2 linked regions of the Lonchura striata genome follow. The main gene of each other region encodes a partner of the protein of the gene in region 2 in a complex. Links are inferred from orthologs where the notes say so. Each region holds a gene or a part of one and is shown on either strand. Other genes may lie near its edges.

Region 1 (7,545 bases), on a different chromosome or scaffold from region 2:
TTTCTGAACATGCCCTCATTTTGCACAGGTTTAGTGCCAGCATTGCTTGGTGGGACCCCTGGGTTTGCAGGGACTCTGGCAGGGGCCAGGCTCTGGCGCAGGATCCCTGGAAGCAGCACAGCCCGTGGCACCTGGCCCTGACAGGAGGGTTTGTTTTCTGTGTTTGCTCCACCTGCATGGCCCTTGGCAGAGCAGAGCCCTGAAGGGAAACCCACAGAAAACCTTTACCATGGCTCAAAAGAGTGTCCAGCTCCGGGCTCACCAAGCTCTGTGTGGGAGCTGCTCTGGTGGCTGTGGGCTGGGCACCTCTGTCCCAGCAGATCTCCAGTCTGCCCCAGTAATCCCTGTCTGCTGTGCTCCGGGGAGGAAGGGAAACCGCTCACACCTGTGCTAAACTCTGAGGGGTTTTCAGCTTGTAAACTCACAAAGATAACAAGGGAAACCCATTTGTCAAATTAAAAAACAAACAAACAAACAAACAACCCCAAACAAACAAACAAACAAACAGAAAGTACCAAAGTAATTTAATGCCCAACAAATTTCTCACAAAGGGAACCTCTTATTTTCTTCTTGGCACTAACATTGGAACCTCTGAATTAAACTTGTAGAATCTGACAAAACCTGGAATTATGATGAAAATACAATGGCGATTCCTTACAGAAAGGTCAGCTGCCAGAAATAATCAGTTATCTTGATTCTGTGAACCTCTGCTCTTTTAGAAAACAAAAAGTATTTACTGGCCTGATTTAAACCTGTAGTTCTGTAGACACATACCCAGAAAACAAGAGTTTTAGGAAAGTTTTTCTATTTTGAATTTGAAATATTAATTGAAGTAGTTGATTTATGAGGGACAGTGAAGTCCTTTGTTCCATAACTGCTGTAAATCACTTTCTGAACCATGGTTTCTGAACCATGCCCCGTGATTTTTACCTCAATCCTGTTTTCAGCCAGTTTCCCTCAGCAGAGGCAGGATGTGAGGCAAAGCTGGCAGCAGAGCTTTTAACTCTGCCCTGCCTCTGTGCCCCATATCCTGCAAGCTGCATGTTGCTCAGGGACATGCTCTTCTTCCAGGACTCAATTTCAGTGTTAACATTTATTCTAAAAATGTTCAAAGAACACTGTTACGGGCTTCTGTTAAAGAGCAAAGCTTTGGGAAATGCTTCTTGTTGCATTGCAATGCAGCTGTAGCAGTCTGAAAAATAACCCAGGTTTGTGGCTTTGTGGGCAAATCAGGAATGACTTTTTAAATTGAGTTTATCCTTTGCTTTCAAATTAATTTGTTTTATTACTTGTAAATGCACATTATTCTCTCTAGCATACTGTACTATTCTAAGGCTTTCGTATGCTAAATGCATCCTATGTCCTTTTCTCCTGTGGGTCACCTTTTATTTAAGGATAAAAGGTAACTCTTGGAGATATCAGAGATAAATTTCAAGTCAGCATTTCTGTGATTTGTTTCTGGTATATGGGTTGTTGTTACCAGGCACACATTAACCTAAGATGAGAAGCTTTTGTAAATCATTGGAGCATCCTTGCTTTTGTCTAATATATTTTCCTGCATGATCATCGATAATACTGTGTGCTTTTACAAATGCTGATCTAATGATTTATATTCACAGGAGGCAGAGAAACATTGATTAACTATACCTTTGTTAACTGCAGAAACAGCCAACTTGGAATGTTTTTGGGAGCTAAGAATGAAAGAGATTTTCTCACAGAAATTAATCTTCTTCCATATCTTTTTTCCCCTTGCATTTCTTTCCTTCCTTTATCTTTATTACAGTGTGACAGCCAGCACGGTGAGGTGCTGTGCACACTGACAGTCCCACTATTGCAGAATAGATTTCTTAGAGAAGAACCACTATCAGCTCATCTCTTATGCATACATGCTTTGTCTCTGCAAGCTGCACAGCAAGCTTGTTAGTTCAGGGACCTGCTACACCTGCTCTAGGACAAGATAAAAGCCTTTTCAAACAACTTTTTGTGTCAAGCCACTGCTCATAAAATAACCCATCAGAAAAAAAAGATGGGTCTTTTTGAACCACTGAGATCAAGAAACCTCTGGAATAAGAATTACTGGTCTTTTAGAACAGGGTCTGTAAAACCTGGTACTCCAGAGTTATGGCGTTAAAGTACCTGGGACTCTTTAAACTTATGAATTAGGACCAAATCACTGACCTGGATTTATATAAACTCCCTTCCCAGTTTTTAACAGATATGCCAGTGCACACGGTGGCTGTCACCTCTTGGCCCAGGGCACAGGAAGGCCCCCCACCTTACAGACCCCAAATCCACCCCACTTCAATAAAAAATTTGCATCAAATCCCAGCCCAGCACACCTCTGCTCACTGAAAACAGTCCTGGAGCTGCACCTGCCCACACCAGTAGGGAAATCCCTTCCTAAAGGCTTTACAGGTGCATTTTCCAGCATATTCTCCACCTCTTTTTCATTATAGATGAACTTTGGCAACACAATCTAAATATTACAAAGCAATACTCAAAAAACCCATGAAATGTCTCTCTCTTTTTTTTTTTTTTTTAATAACCTGGGAATATTATAGCCCAACAAAGCCAGAGATTTTCCTCTTGCAGTGTCAATTGTAAAGAGCTCTGCTGTTTGTACTTGGTGCGGGTGCCATCAGTGTAACGCCAAAAGGATTTTGTGGACATGTATAAAATTCATAGCCCATTTGCTGATATTTCTTAACTTATTTAAGACATTAGAAAATAATTTGGGTGGAGGTAAAAAACCCTTTGAAATGAACTTCATGGCTGAAGGACAGAAAATAACATTTGTCTCTTACCAGAGTCCGAGGTGGCAGAGCTTCAGTGTGGTACCAAATCAGGCAAACTAAACCCAACAGTATCCCAAAATGTTAAGCAAAATACAAAAAATGAAGATCAAATAGAAAAATCCACTTCTCTTTTCGTTAAGCAATACTGGGAGTGTTCAGCTCTCCAGTCTCCAAGCTTTTCCAGCTGGGAGTCAGCCTTTCCCATCCTGCATCCCGGCATCCTGTTATTGTTCCAAGTCTTACTAATGCAGTGAGAAAAGGGAGTGGAGGAAACAAGATAAAGTTAGCCTTATTATTTCTCTATCTACTTATTTGTTGCTGACTCTAATGAGGGACCTGGATAAAAGGAAACTCTGAGAGAAACACCAGAGTTGGTCTGTTATTTGGTATCGTTTTAGAGAGAATTTTAAGAGGTAGCAAATTTCTAAGAGAAACTTTTAGTGTCTGATCAGCACAGACTATGCCTGCTTTGCATAAACAGGACTTTCAAAGCAGTTTGGAAGTGTCCTACCTATAAGAATTTTTATACCTGGAAACCAAAAAGGTAGAGCCTTCCTGTTAATGAGACTGGGTTCCTGCTAAGCTCTGCCAGTGCTGGGTGTAAAGATGAAATTTCACAGTATTTTTCACAGGTAAAGTGAAGACCAGAGGAGCAAGGCAGTGTAGGCAGGCCTTTCATAAGAAGAAATGTTCATAGCATCTTGATTATGGTGATTCTAAGTCTGGAGACCACTCAGGACACTCAGAAGGGGAAGCTTCAGTGTTAAACTGAACACAAGGGTGTAGCTCTTGGCATTGTGCACTACAAATGAAAGAGGATTTTTTTCATTAAGTAATGCAGAAGAAAACTGAGAAGTGTGGGGTTTACTCAAAATGCACTCTTTGGAACCACTTATAATAAATGCAGGCAAATGTTCAATGTATCTTAAGTATGACATTAGTAATTTTAATTATTGAATTAAATTTTTAATATTATTCCACAGTTAAATAATTTGTCATTACAGTCCAGCACAGGTGGTGGGATTGATTTCCTGCCTTGCCAGGAGGCTGAGGTTGGTCAGATTGTTTCACTTTTTCATGGTGTACATTCATCTTCAGTGAAGATGAATGGCTTCTGAAGGAATTTGTTACATTAATTATTACAAAAAAAAAAAAAAAAAAAAAAAAAAGGAGAAATTCTTCAGTCTTGTGTAAGGAGCCCGAGAGTCCAGTTTCCTTGCAGGAAAATGAGTTGTTAAATAAGCTGTGTCACGGCTGGGAGAGGAGCAGGGAGATGCTGATAGGGGTTTTCCAGGCAAGTGCAGATCTCTGCTCAGGAAGCAGCTCCCTGATAATCAGGTGCCCACAGCAGACAGGGGGCTCAGATAGGATTTACCCTTGCAAGTGGCTCCAGCTGCATTTCCAGCCCCTTGTACCTCTGATGTCCCCGTGTGAGGCTGGGACTGAGGGTGACATTCAAGAAAGGAGGAGGGAGGGGAATCATCCCTCTGCTCAGAGGGAAAAGAGGAGACCCCAGGGCTCTCTCTGTGTGCCCTGAGGCCACAGCTCAGGTTGTCCAGGTCTGTTTTAATGTCTGATAATTACCTTCCTATTATCTGATTTGCTTCTTCTCCCCCAAAAAGTTCAAGGCAAGAACTGAGAAAGTTTCTAAAGGCCTTTTCACATGCTCTGCATCAGAGCTCGATAGAAAACCGAAAATCTTCTGTAAGTTTAAGAGGAAGATACTTCCATTGAAATTGTAGAGACCTGATTTACCATCTAAAACCTTCCAACGATGCTTTATAGATTCCATCTCTGCTGAACTGGTTGTTTAGGTTTCCTTTCTGGCTATGAGGAGAGGTCCATTGAGATTTTATGGAAAGCAGAACCAATTCTAGCAGCCCTCTCCCAGCAGCAGCAGAGCTCCTGGAGGTTCAGGTGCTCTGTACCCTCTGGCTGATCCCAGACATTTGCCCTGCTGTCCCTCCTAGGCAGTGAAAGCACTGTGGTTTAAAGCTGATGACACAAAATGCTGGCAAGCAGGATTTCTTGTAGATCTTAGACTTTCAGATTTTATCATTGTGGCCAAATCATAAGACTTTGGAAAAATTCCTTGGTGGCTCATGCCTTTTGCAAGCCAGAGGGTAATGCTTCAAAAATATTATTAATTCACAGTAAGTTCTGCTAATGAGAAAAATAATTTGCATGATCAGACAACATTGGCAGACATAATTACCTTTTAATTGTGTGATTTTGGGTATGAAATATTATTTAACAGTCCAGCTGGTGGAATTGAAGGGAACAGGTAAAAAATCAATTAGCACACACTGTCTGTGTGACTCATGGATGGAGATGGTGGCAGAACAAAAGGAGTGGTAATTATTTACTCATCATTTCATGGTGCATTCCTGCCATTCCTGTCTCCAAATGGCATCAAGCCCTTTTCAGTTCAGCTCTGCTGTATGAGTTTTCTTCCATGCTATATCCAGCTGCCCTTACTGATCATTTGCTTCTTTCCAGTGCTTTTCCCACAGATGTTCATTAGCTGCTGCTCTGGGGCTCTGTGGCACCTGGGTCAGGTATGTCTGGTTTAGATCAGCATGTCTTTCTGTGAAACTTTGAGTTCAGCCTGTGTTATTGAAATGCAGACTGAGCCATTTGCCAGACTAGTAAAGTTTAAAATAGTCCTTCCTCTCTTGAATGATGGGGTGGAACTCAACTTTGCTTTACAGATGCTTTGCATAGTTTGGATTTGACATTCCTGGGAATCTGAAGCAATAGCTGTCATCTTGCTACTGCTGAGAGGACTGTGTTATAATGGGCAGAAACCCAGCCCTCACTCACCACATTAAATCTGTTAAATCTGTGCTAGCTGTGCACAGACACCCTTGGGGGGTTTGTGTAAGTTACTGGGTTGATAAGTGCACAGAATGAATGTGAGATTAAAGCACCTTTCTTCAGAATTAGATTTTATCTGTTGATGAGGAGATTGATCTAATGATCAGGAGCTCCAGTTTCTCTACTTGCTGTGTTCCTAGCAGGGCAGGCTGACTCGTGCTTACAGCTGGTTTCAGGTTTGCACTGTGTTGCTTGTTCACTGTCTCATCTGATCAGTGCTCTGGAAAGTTCTCAAAGAATTCATGGAAAACATAGTTGTAGGAACAAGTTCATTGCTTTCCTAACCAGCACAAGTCCTTGCAAAGTGGACAAAGTGTCCCTGTACTTTTCACTAAGTAAGAGTTTTCTTCCCTTTTCTTCAAGTAATTTGAGTTATGGTGAAATTCCATATGATAAATAAGCCCTTCTTGATAAGCACAGTTATCAAAACCAAAGGCAGCTATTGACACAGCTGCAACTAATTTTTAATTCTCATCCTGCTATCTGACTCTCACTAGGGAAGGGTTTTACCCTTGCAAGTACAGCCCAGGAATGTTTTTGTAACAGTTATAAAAGTTAGATTCAGTAGTCTGTCCTGCTAAACCCAGCACGTTACAGGCGCTGCGCAAGGGAAGGTGTGCCAAGGCTGGGAATTCAGTCACAGCACTGATACTGTGCCAGGATTTTTCTGACCAGTTAGAAAATAGGGTGGGGGAGAGCACAGGCTCCCAGTTACAAAAATAAACCCCAAATGCTAATTTCCAGCAGCTCAGCTAATCAGTGCAAAATCCCTCCCATCTGAAATGTGCAATTGCATCTGACGGATGTCCGCAGCCTCTCTGGAAGGGCCATTACCTGAAGGTTAAAAAATAACAATTCCTGCTCCGTGTGGAAGGCACAATCTCTGCAGTACCTTGTGTTGTTATTTCTGGGCCTTTAATCAGGGCAGTGCAGTGCTCTCAGTCATTTCCACTTGGTCACTGGTTTCCTTTCTGTCACAGCCTGAGGTGCGCATCCTGGAGTCACTCTGACTCGGCTTCCTCTTGTCAGGTTTTTTAAACAAAGCAATGTAGCTCTGATTTGTTTTTAATTTAAGGTGAATTAAAAAAAACCCAAACTGCTGAAGAATTTCAGTGAAAGCTGGTGGAATTGGGTGCTTGCTGGGGAGGTGTGATAACATCTGCTGAGGTGTTTTCCAGAGCACTGTTCTGGCTGTACCACACTCATTTCACTACAGCAGATCTCTCCTGCAAGGGTCAGTCCCATCCTCCTTAATGAGACCTCTGGCTTCATAAGTATCAAGGACTTAATTAATACAATGCTCAGCAGGGAATGGTCCCAAATGATATTGTTGCCTTGTTTGGAAATGCCAGGAAAGAATAGATGGTACAAAATGCACCCGTATTGTACTAAAACTTTATAACAGCCTGAGCAGAAGCCATAAAATGGAACTGCGTCACCAGTGAGCTGAAGGAAGGAATCATGAATCCCTTTGATGTGCTCACTGAAGACACAATCCACAGGGGTTTGGAACAACAAGCCTGCAGGCTAACTCTAGCACACTAACCTTTACACGTGATTCCAGTTGGAAGAGCAGGTCAAGTGTAGAGGTGTGAAACTGATAAAAAATCTTCCACAAATGTTTTTGATAAACAATCTTCAATTTCAGTGATTTTTTTTTTCACCTGAAGAACATACCTATTTTAATTTGAATGACCCTTAAAATAGAAACCAAAACCAAGGCAATCTGTTCCTTAAAAAAAAACAACGAAAATTGTCACCTTTCATTCATGAACTCTGGTTGTTGAAGCAGCCCAGCTTTAAACTCCAACTGCTCTCCACATGGACCACAAGGACCCCCCTCCCAGGCTGCTGCCACCCTTCTCCTGAGGAC
Region 2 (7,956 bases):
GTATGTCTTTAACTCCTAAAATTTTACAGCGAGGAGAACTGTACTATTATGTGGATTGCTCTCCATAAGTACTTTTTCCATTGTCAACATGTCTCTTCAACCTAAATAATACCAAGTCAGAACACTGAGGTCAAATTTTGAAGCTATTCCCTCCTGGCACTCTGCAAGCATGGTTTTGGGCAGCCTCACTGCTAATCACAACTGGGAAACCGTGACAAAGCGGGGGGAAATCTGGGAAGGGCTGACAACTCAGTTCTCAAGGAGTTCTCCTGAAGAACTTCTGCAAAAAGTAGACACACACATTCTTGAAGGATGAGAAATGCTGCTTTTCCTATAAGTATGAAAACCATAGACTTCATTCAAATATTTTGAATAATCTTCCACCAGATATTCTTTCCATACAAGCATAGTGGTGGTGAAATAGATTTCAGTGTCAGTTTGATACCAGCTGCCAGACTGTAAGTTCATATGGCCACATATACTTTGATCCTCTCAGGAATTACTTTGTCCCCTCTCTTGTCTCCTTACGAAGTGAAGACTTGCACATCTGCTACACAAGCATAGAAAGGAGCCATCTAACTGCTACAAAAATAGAGTCATCTGTGGAGTTCTAGCATCCAAACCAGACAATTACTATGTTACTCTACTGCAAGCACAGCAAACAGCACTATACACCTACTTACAAAACTTACTTACTGTAAGATCCGGTTCCCTCCCACCTAAACATCACCACAGAAAATCGTCAGCAAATTCAAGTTAAAAGTAAGGTTTGACAGTGACCATATAAAACACTCAGAGAAAGCCCATGGACACTGCTACTGTTTTCAACCACAGAATTTCCATCTAATAGAAACAATCTCAGTAATTGCAGCTACCTCAAGTCCATACCAGTGGCATTTAGCATAACCACCATATAAATACTAATAAATAAAACCACCATGTCATTTTAACCCAGGATGCAGAGCTTTTGATACCAGGAACCAGTCAAAGTCTGGCTGCCCCTCTGCAAACTGTCTCTTTAAGAAGTACATGGCCATAGTCAGTTACATGTTTTCCTTCCCATGCTTCCACAGGTGGGCCACTTTTTTTCTATAATGAAATTTGCAATGATGTAACCTTTTCCTGGTCACTGTTGTGTGTGTCCCCTGTGCTTACAACTTCAATCCCTCCCAGGTTTAACATTATCCTGCAGAATGCAACTGCCACCCTTTAACACAGCTTAATACTTGGAAGCCAGGATGCAGCCCATTGCCACAGGAGTTACACGGGCCACAGTTTTGGAAAAAAACACAGCAAAGTAATTATTTTTATTAATGCTCTAACACTGATGAACAAATGCTGCAAACACTTCTCATGTGAATGGCCCAATGAGGCATTCAGTGTTCCATAAACAGTCTCACTTTACTGTTCACTGCTTTACCTTAACCAGAGAGGTACTTTCAGCCCCAGACTCCTACATGCAAGTAGACTGCCATGTGCATTAACTGCTGTATATGAATGACAGCTGGTATGCAGCCACAGCCGTATCCTCAAGAATCATTTTTCTCTTTTTTCCAGACAGAATCAGAATATGTTTGCTGTCTTCAAACCCACGTTCTTAGGTGGGGAGATGATGGGAAACTTAGTTCCTGTTCTCCTCCCAGCATCAGCAATTCTCTATTAAAAAGCTGATTTTAAAAATTTTCTCAGGAATCACTTCAAACCAATCAATGAACCGGTCACAATATTCCTTCCATTGCATGTTTCAGGACAGGCTGGCAGTGTGCATTGGCCAAAGTAAAACCGGTAAAAGTGTAAAATGTCTCAGAAGGGATAAGAGAGAGAAGCACACTAAAACTTCTTGGATCGATAAGGCAGAGGAAAGGGGAAGGGCACTGCTGAAGTTCTCAGCCAACGATGCTCATACTGCCCAACAAACCAGTTGATTAAAAAGAAGTTTGCAGCGACAAGAAAGCACGGGGAGGGTGGGAAAGGGAGGAAGGGAGGAAAGAGAGAAAAAAAATATTTTTAAAAAAAAAAGGAAGGGAAGAAACTCAAAACCCAACATGTTGCCCATGGAGGGAAAGCCAAGTCTGCAGCTGCCTGCACACGCACAGCCAGGGATTTCAACATGGGGCTGCGGGAGGCCGGCGCGGCGCTGCCGGGCCCCGCCGCGGGCCGGGCCGGCGCCCCCCGCACCCCGGGGCGCCGCGGAGCGTCCCGCTGGCGCGCAGCCTCCCCCGGGGGCGGCGGCCGCGGAGGAGCCGCGGAGGAGCCGCGGGCGGCCGCGGGCCCCTCGCAGCCTCCCCGGCGCGGGGGGCGGCCCGCGGGGCGCCGCCGGACGCCCCCGCGGCGGGGTCCCCTCGCACCGCCCTCCCCGCCGGGCCTGGAGGGCCGGGAAGCCTGGAGCTGGATTTCCAGCCCTCCGCGGCGCCGCGGCCCCGCCACCCGCCCCGGGGCAGACCCGGCACCGCCGGACCCCGCGCCGCTCTGCCGGCCGCGTTCGGGCGGCTCCCGCACCGACGCCCCCGGGGGCCGCCGGGCACCGGCGAACAAAGGGCCGCGGCCCGCGGGGAGCCGCGGAGGGGCCGCGCCGGCCGCCGCGGAGGGGCCGAGCCCCCCGGCCCCGCTCCCCGGCGGCGCCGGGCACACGCTCCCGCGGGCTCCGCCGCCGCCCCCGGCCCCGCTCCCGCCGCTTCCCCGGCGGGGCAGCCCGGACTTTCCCCCTCGCTTCCCTCCCCGCTCCGGGAAGCGCCATATTGATCGCGGGCGCCGCTCCCCGCGCCCCTCACCTTGGCGATCGCCTTCTTGTACCGGGTCACCGCTTGCTGGATCAGGCTGAAAACTTTCATGTTCCCGTCCCCGCAGGGCACGACCACCCGCGTCCTCCCGAAGCACACCGTGACTTTCATCCTGTGCGGCCGGGGGGCTCCCGCGTCCCTCCGGCCCCGCGCAGCCTTCCTCCTCCTCCTCCTCCTCCTCCTCCTCTTCCCCTCCGCCCTCCGCCACGGCCGCCCCCCGGCGGGGCGCGGCGCTCAGCCCCCGGCCGCCGCCGGGCTGCCGCTGCGGCCGCCCTGCCTCTGCCCCGGCTTCGCGGCCGGCCCGGCAGGCGCGGGGAAGGGAGGGCAGCGCAGGACTGGCCGGTGCTGCCTTCCCGAGGGCCGGGGGCTCTCACATGCCGCGGCGCTGCCCGCGGCCACCTGCCCGGCTCCTGCCCCGGCGCGCAGCGGCGGCGGGCGGGGCGGCGGCGCTGGCTCCGCTCCGCAGGCGTGGGGCGGCGCGGCGGGGCGGGGGCAGCCGGCCGCTCCGCGGGGCGCCGGCAGCGCGGACGGGGCGGGGGAGCCGGCGGGCCCGCACACGATCGGAGCGAGAGCCCCGAGCGAGCCCGAGGTGGTGCGGCTGCCCCCGCCTCGCTCTGCCCCGCCGGGAACCGGGGATGCGGAGCCGGGGCCGCACCGGCACAAGGAGCCCCGCGAAGTCCTGGTCCCGGTGCACGGGGGGAAACGGGCGCCGCCGCCCTGCCTCAGGTACGCGGGTCCGGGGAAAGCAGGGCACGGCACCGCAGAGAAGGCTGGACACCGCGGTGCTCTGCTGTTCCTCCCGGTGTCCGGGGCACGCAGCCACCGCTCACGGCCGAAATCAGATGGCCTTCCTGGTCGTTCGGGCATCTGTTAACGCAACAGGACCGGCACTGTGCAAAACCTCCTTCATCGTCAGTAACACCAGCATCAATGGAACCGCTGAGCAATCTCCTCTGCAAAGCCGTCAGAAGTCATAGGGGTTTGCAGATATCGTTCACTTTTTTCCACGGATTTCATTGAGGACAATGGAATTGCACAGTTCATTGGTCATTCAGTGTGGCCTGACAATATATATCTTTTGTGTAGATATGGTAAAACAATTTAACTAGAGTGAAAGCAGAGTTTGGAGGACAAGAAAGCAGTGAAAAAAAAAAAAAAAAACTTTCTTCTTCTTCTTTCTTTTCTTTTTCCTGAACACACAGCGCTAAATATGTGAAATTCAAGTAAGCTTTGTAGCACATAATGTCAACATCCTTCTACAACACCGGACAACTCAGCACGTGTCCTCTGGTGCTCCCTGCCCGGCAGCTGTCCCAGCTGGCAGTCTGCTCCTGTTCCCTTAGCAATAGTATTAGTAAATTTAAGAACTTCAAACCTGGTACAAATGGCAAAGCTGTCTGCGGTTTAGTAGGTACAGAGGTATGGAGCAGAATTAATGATGTTTTTAAAACATCAAAGGTAGAATTATTGCCCTGTTAAGTCAAGGGTGAGAATGGCATCCCTAACCCTTTGCATTCTAGTTAGGAGTTTCTAGTATAGAAAATGGAGGAGTCAGTTTATATTAATTTGGTTCCATGAATAATGTCCAATTTCATTCAAATCTATAGAACCTTTTTCTATTAATTTCAGTTTTGGAAAGCTTTGGGGCACTCACAAGATCAAAGAATCCATTTGCTGACCTACAGATAATTTTTAGCTTAGATGCCAGTTTTATTAGTTACCCACCCGAGTTATCTGGACTAATATATATGAATTTAAATAAGAAATAGTCTGCCTTTTAAAGCAGGAAACAAGCACACCTGCGTTGTTATATTTTGTCATATCCCCAGTGTTCACTTGTGTGGAATAAAGGCAGTATGCATGAGCTCAGAAAGGCAGAAATAAAATAAAACTGGTGTAAACAGTTTACAGCTCATGACTGAGACAACTGAGTACACTCTGCAGTTTTATGGCCATAGCTCATCAAGTTTATTATTGGAGAAAGATGAAAATGTCCTCTAACCTGCAGCTTCTGTGCTTTCTAGGTGATCATAAGAGCTGCTGGGAAAGGATGAAAGAGCTATAAATCCTTGGTTTAATATACATCACTTAAGAAACTTGCAGAAAGGACTGTGAAAATGTGAAATCAATAGAGGCTCTTCCCAGGCTGTTTTTAACAAGAACTTTACTATGTCATAGACTTTGTAATGTTTCACATTCAGTTGTCATTTGCATTTATCTGCTAAAACAAAATGTTGCATATTAGAAGTTTTTCCACACTGCTCTAAAACTTGATATTTATAAGGCTTAATACTCTTTCTGGTGGATAGTAACTATTTCACTGTTCAGACGCAGCTACAGGTTTTTCATGTTTTTCTGTGATTTAGTTCCTGCTCCTACTGTCTCTAACAAGTTGCTTGGCAGTTTTCCCAGCTGTTCTAACAGTCTCCTGGAAAAAAAAAAAAAAAAAAAAAAAAAAAAAAAAAAAAACAAAAAAAACCTCCAACAGTTTAGAAAGAAATATTGATAGTTTTTCCATTAAATGTGTGAAACAGGAAAATTCAGTAATGACGTACAAGAAAACAAGTCTGTCCTGGGATCTGATTTAAGGCCAAAACTTAAAGACTTGAACATGAATAGTGATAGACCTAACAGGAATGAGAGCCTCAAAGATTTGCGTTTCTTCCCCACTAGATACACACACAAATTATACACACATCATTCTGAAAGCATTTAAAATAAAATTTACCACATATAGTGTTTGTTTTGTTCTTCCTTAAAAGCAAGAATGAACTTTAAAAAAAAATACAACAAGGCTGAGAGATTGTATGAGGCCTAATTATGTACGGTAAATGAAGTATAAAACATTATTATAAGAGATTATGAGAAAAGGATTATACTAATCAGGAGAAGAATTGGCAAGAGTTGCTGGTTTAAAAAAATTACAACTACTATCCAGGCTGCAATATGGGTGGCATATATATGGTTCTGGATGTTGAACTTTCATGGGCTAACAGACCACAGAACCTGTCAATTCATTTATTAATGGTACACTGATGGAGGATTTCCATGAAAACATCATCTGTCTTGCAGGAAGAAGTAGGTGGTGAAGTATGGGATGGAGAGAATCAAAGCTGCTAATGATCACTAGTCAAGTTTTGTTCAAAACAGCCAACCAGTTGAAAGCCGCTGCTGCAAACATGCAAGGAGTGAGAATCTTGCAATTAAATGCAGATTATCAAAAGCCTTTTTTACGGGAATGGTAAATTATTCAGACAGTGGAATGATGCTGATTTCCAGAGTTATCTCACAGTTTATCCCATCTTTATACTCTACATCAGAGAATTTTTATGGAATAATTCTGGATGTGTTCAGGTTTAGTAGTCTGTTCATGGCATACAGATATTCCCTGGTTTCATAAGAAAACCCCAACTCCAGGTAGAGTATGTATTAAGTTCAGTTTCTTTTAAATATAGATATTTCCTTAAGCCCATTAAAGTTCATACAGTACTGTAGAAAGACCAGTGTCAAACTGAACAGCAAGAGTATTCCTTGAAGAATTACAGGTCTTTTTTTAAAAAGTGCCATTTGTGAAAATGCCTTATGGATATACCAAACAGTACTAGGTTTTAATGATTTAAGATAGCTACCTGCTGTAACACTTCTGCTGAGTTATTAGGTAAAGCCTTAAGTTCCTTTTCAAAATTCTGAATTTAAAGTTCTGAGTCGTTTACATTTTACTCTGAGGTAGAAATTTAATCAAAGTAAACATGTCTGTGACTGAGATCTTTCCATGGATAACCTTTCATCTATAGGAATGGGTTGATTTCTCAGATGTTATATTTTGTGACTTTTTTCCTGCCATACTGATGGTTCTTCCACAAAGAAGTAAGGGAGTGTTTCCCATCATTTTCTTTTATGATTGAGAAAATTATTAAAGCTTTTTAAATAATTTGTGGCTAGCCCTGGTCTAAAAACAAAAACAACAAAAACAACAACAAAAAAAAAAAGAAACTGAATAAAAATTTATTTTCTACAATTTCTCAAAAGGGTCTGGGATTTCAGGATTGAAAAGCCCTCAGATCAGTAAGAGGTAGTTACAGAATCACACATGTATTGATGTTCGACTTAGGGAATGCAGACACACAAATTTGGGAAGACAAGAACTTTCCTTGTGGTATAATAGAAGGAGGAAATTGTAGCAAAGAACAATGTATTGTTTTCAAGAAAAGCCACAAGACTGTTACCCTTTCCAGGGGCTCCAACCTGTGTCTCAAGCAACTTTGGGTAGTGGGGAGGTGTTTAGGGCTAAGGAATGAGTATAGGTAAATTCACTACTCTTTTCCTGAATTTTGCTGTTTTTAAAAGAATTATGTTTGAGGAATTTGAATAGTTTTCTTGATAATGCTCGGGTGGTTTTCACCCATCATGGAACTGTATAAATGGAATTGCTTTATCTAATTTATATCAACTAATAGCTTATTGAGCTGAGATCTGGGAAGGCCTGAAATAAACATATTGAGTTACTTCTTGGTTTGGGCCCTTAAAGGCAATCCACAGGTAAGGAAGCAGAATCATTAGAGGTCTAAAAAGTGAAAAACATGAGCTGCATGAAAAGAGTGAAGTTACTGGAGGTGTCCAGAGCACACAAGGGGGCATTGCCAGGAGATACCAAAATAATCTTTGTGTGTGCTAGAGCTATGGAATGTCATAAGGAAAACATTGACACCAATTGCTTCAGCCTGCTCTCATACCACACACTATATTTATGCTATGGGCTGAACAAAATTATGTTCACATAATGATACAGGTAGGGTTCTGAATGTCCCTGCACTGCAAAGCACAAATCTAAGTCACACATTGGAGCTGACCAGCTCCTTTTATTTGCCCTTAGGGCTATGAGGAGTTTGTAAGCCTGTGCCTGCCAGGAGGGACACCCACCACAGGGACTGCACTGGGACGAGAATGATCTCTCACCTTCTCTCATTTTCTCTCATGCCACAGAGCTGTTCTGCAGCCACCGAGGCTGTTCTGCAGGATCCAGCCACCCTAGGGCTTGCTTTGGGGGTATGAGGTTAGTTATACCCAAAGCACATCATCAGTTATAGTTTCAGCAAGCTTTACAGAGGAAACGAAAAGGGAGAACAGGAACACTGAATGTCAACAGCTGAGACCAGAAAATCCCTGCAGAATTTCA

Evidence for each region. Proteins that work in one complex are often made in the same cells at the same time.
Region 1: the proteins of PARD3 (region 2) and CDH5 are in contact, whole or in part, in an NMR structure (PDB 2KOH), measured with the Mus musculus proteins. The link is inferred for Lonchura striata from reciprocal best matches to the Homo sapiens genes PARD3 and CDH5. Residues at the interface, in NP_296369.2 of Mus musculus: Ala599, Gly600, Leu601, Gly602, Val603, Ser604, Val605, Lys606, Gly607, Arg609, Lys611, Lys622, Ile625, Asn655, Gln656, Met659, Arg663, Met666; in NP_033998.2 of Mus musculus: Tyr774, Gly775, Asp777, Gln779, Glu780, Glu781, Leu782, Ile783, Ile784.

The regions. Positions count from the first base shown.
Region 1 is NC_134615.1:2,279,327-2,286,871, reverse strand, and holds the start of CDH5 (cadherin-5), read right to left. Parts: upstream 3,019-7,545; 5' UTR 2,805-3,018; intron 1-2,804. UniProt on the Homo sapiens protein: Cadherins are calcium-dependent cell adhesion proteins. They preferentially interact with themselves in a homophilic manner in connecting cells; cadherins may thus contribute to the sorting of heterogeneous cell types.
Region 2 is NC_134603.1:143,725,864-143,733,819, forward strand, and holds the start of PARD3 (partitioning defective 3 homolog), read right to left. Parts: upstream 3,021-7,956; 5' UTR 2,892-3,020; coding exon 2,772-2,891; intron 1-2,771. UniProt on the Homo sapiens protein: Adapter protein involved in asymmetrical cell division and cell polarization processes. Seems to play a central role in the formation of epithelial tight junctions. Targets the phosphatase PTEN to cell junctions.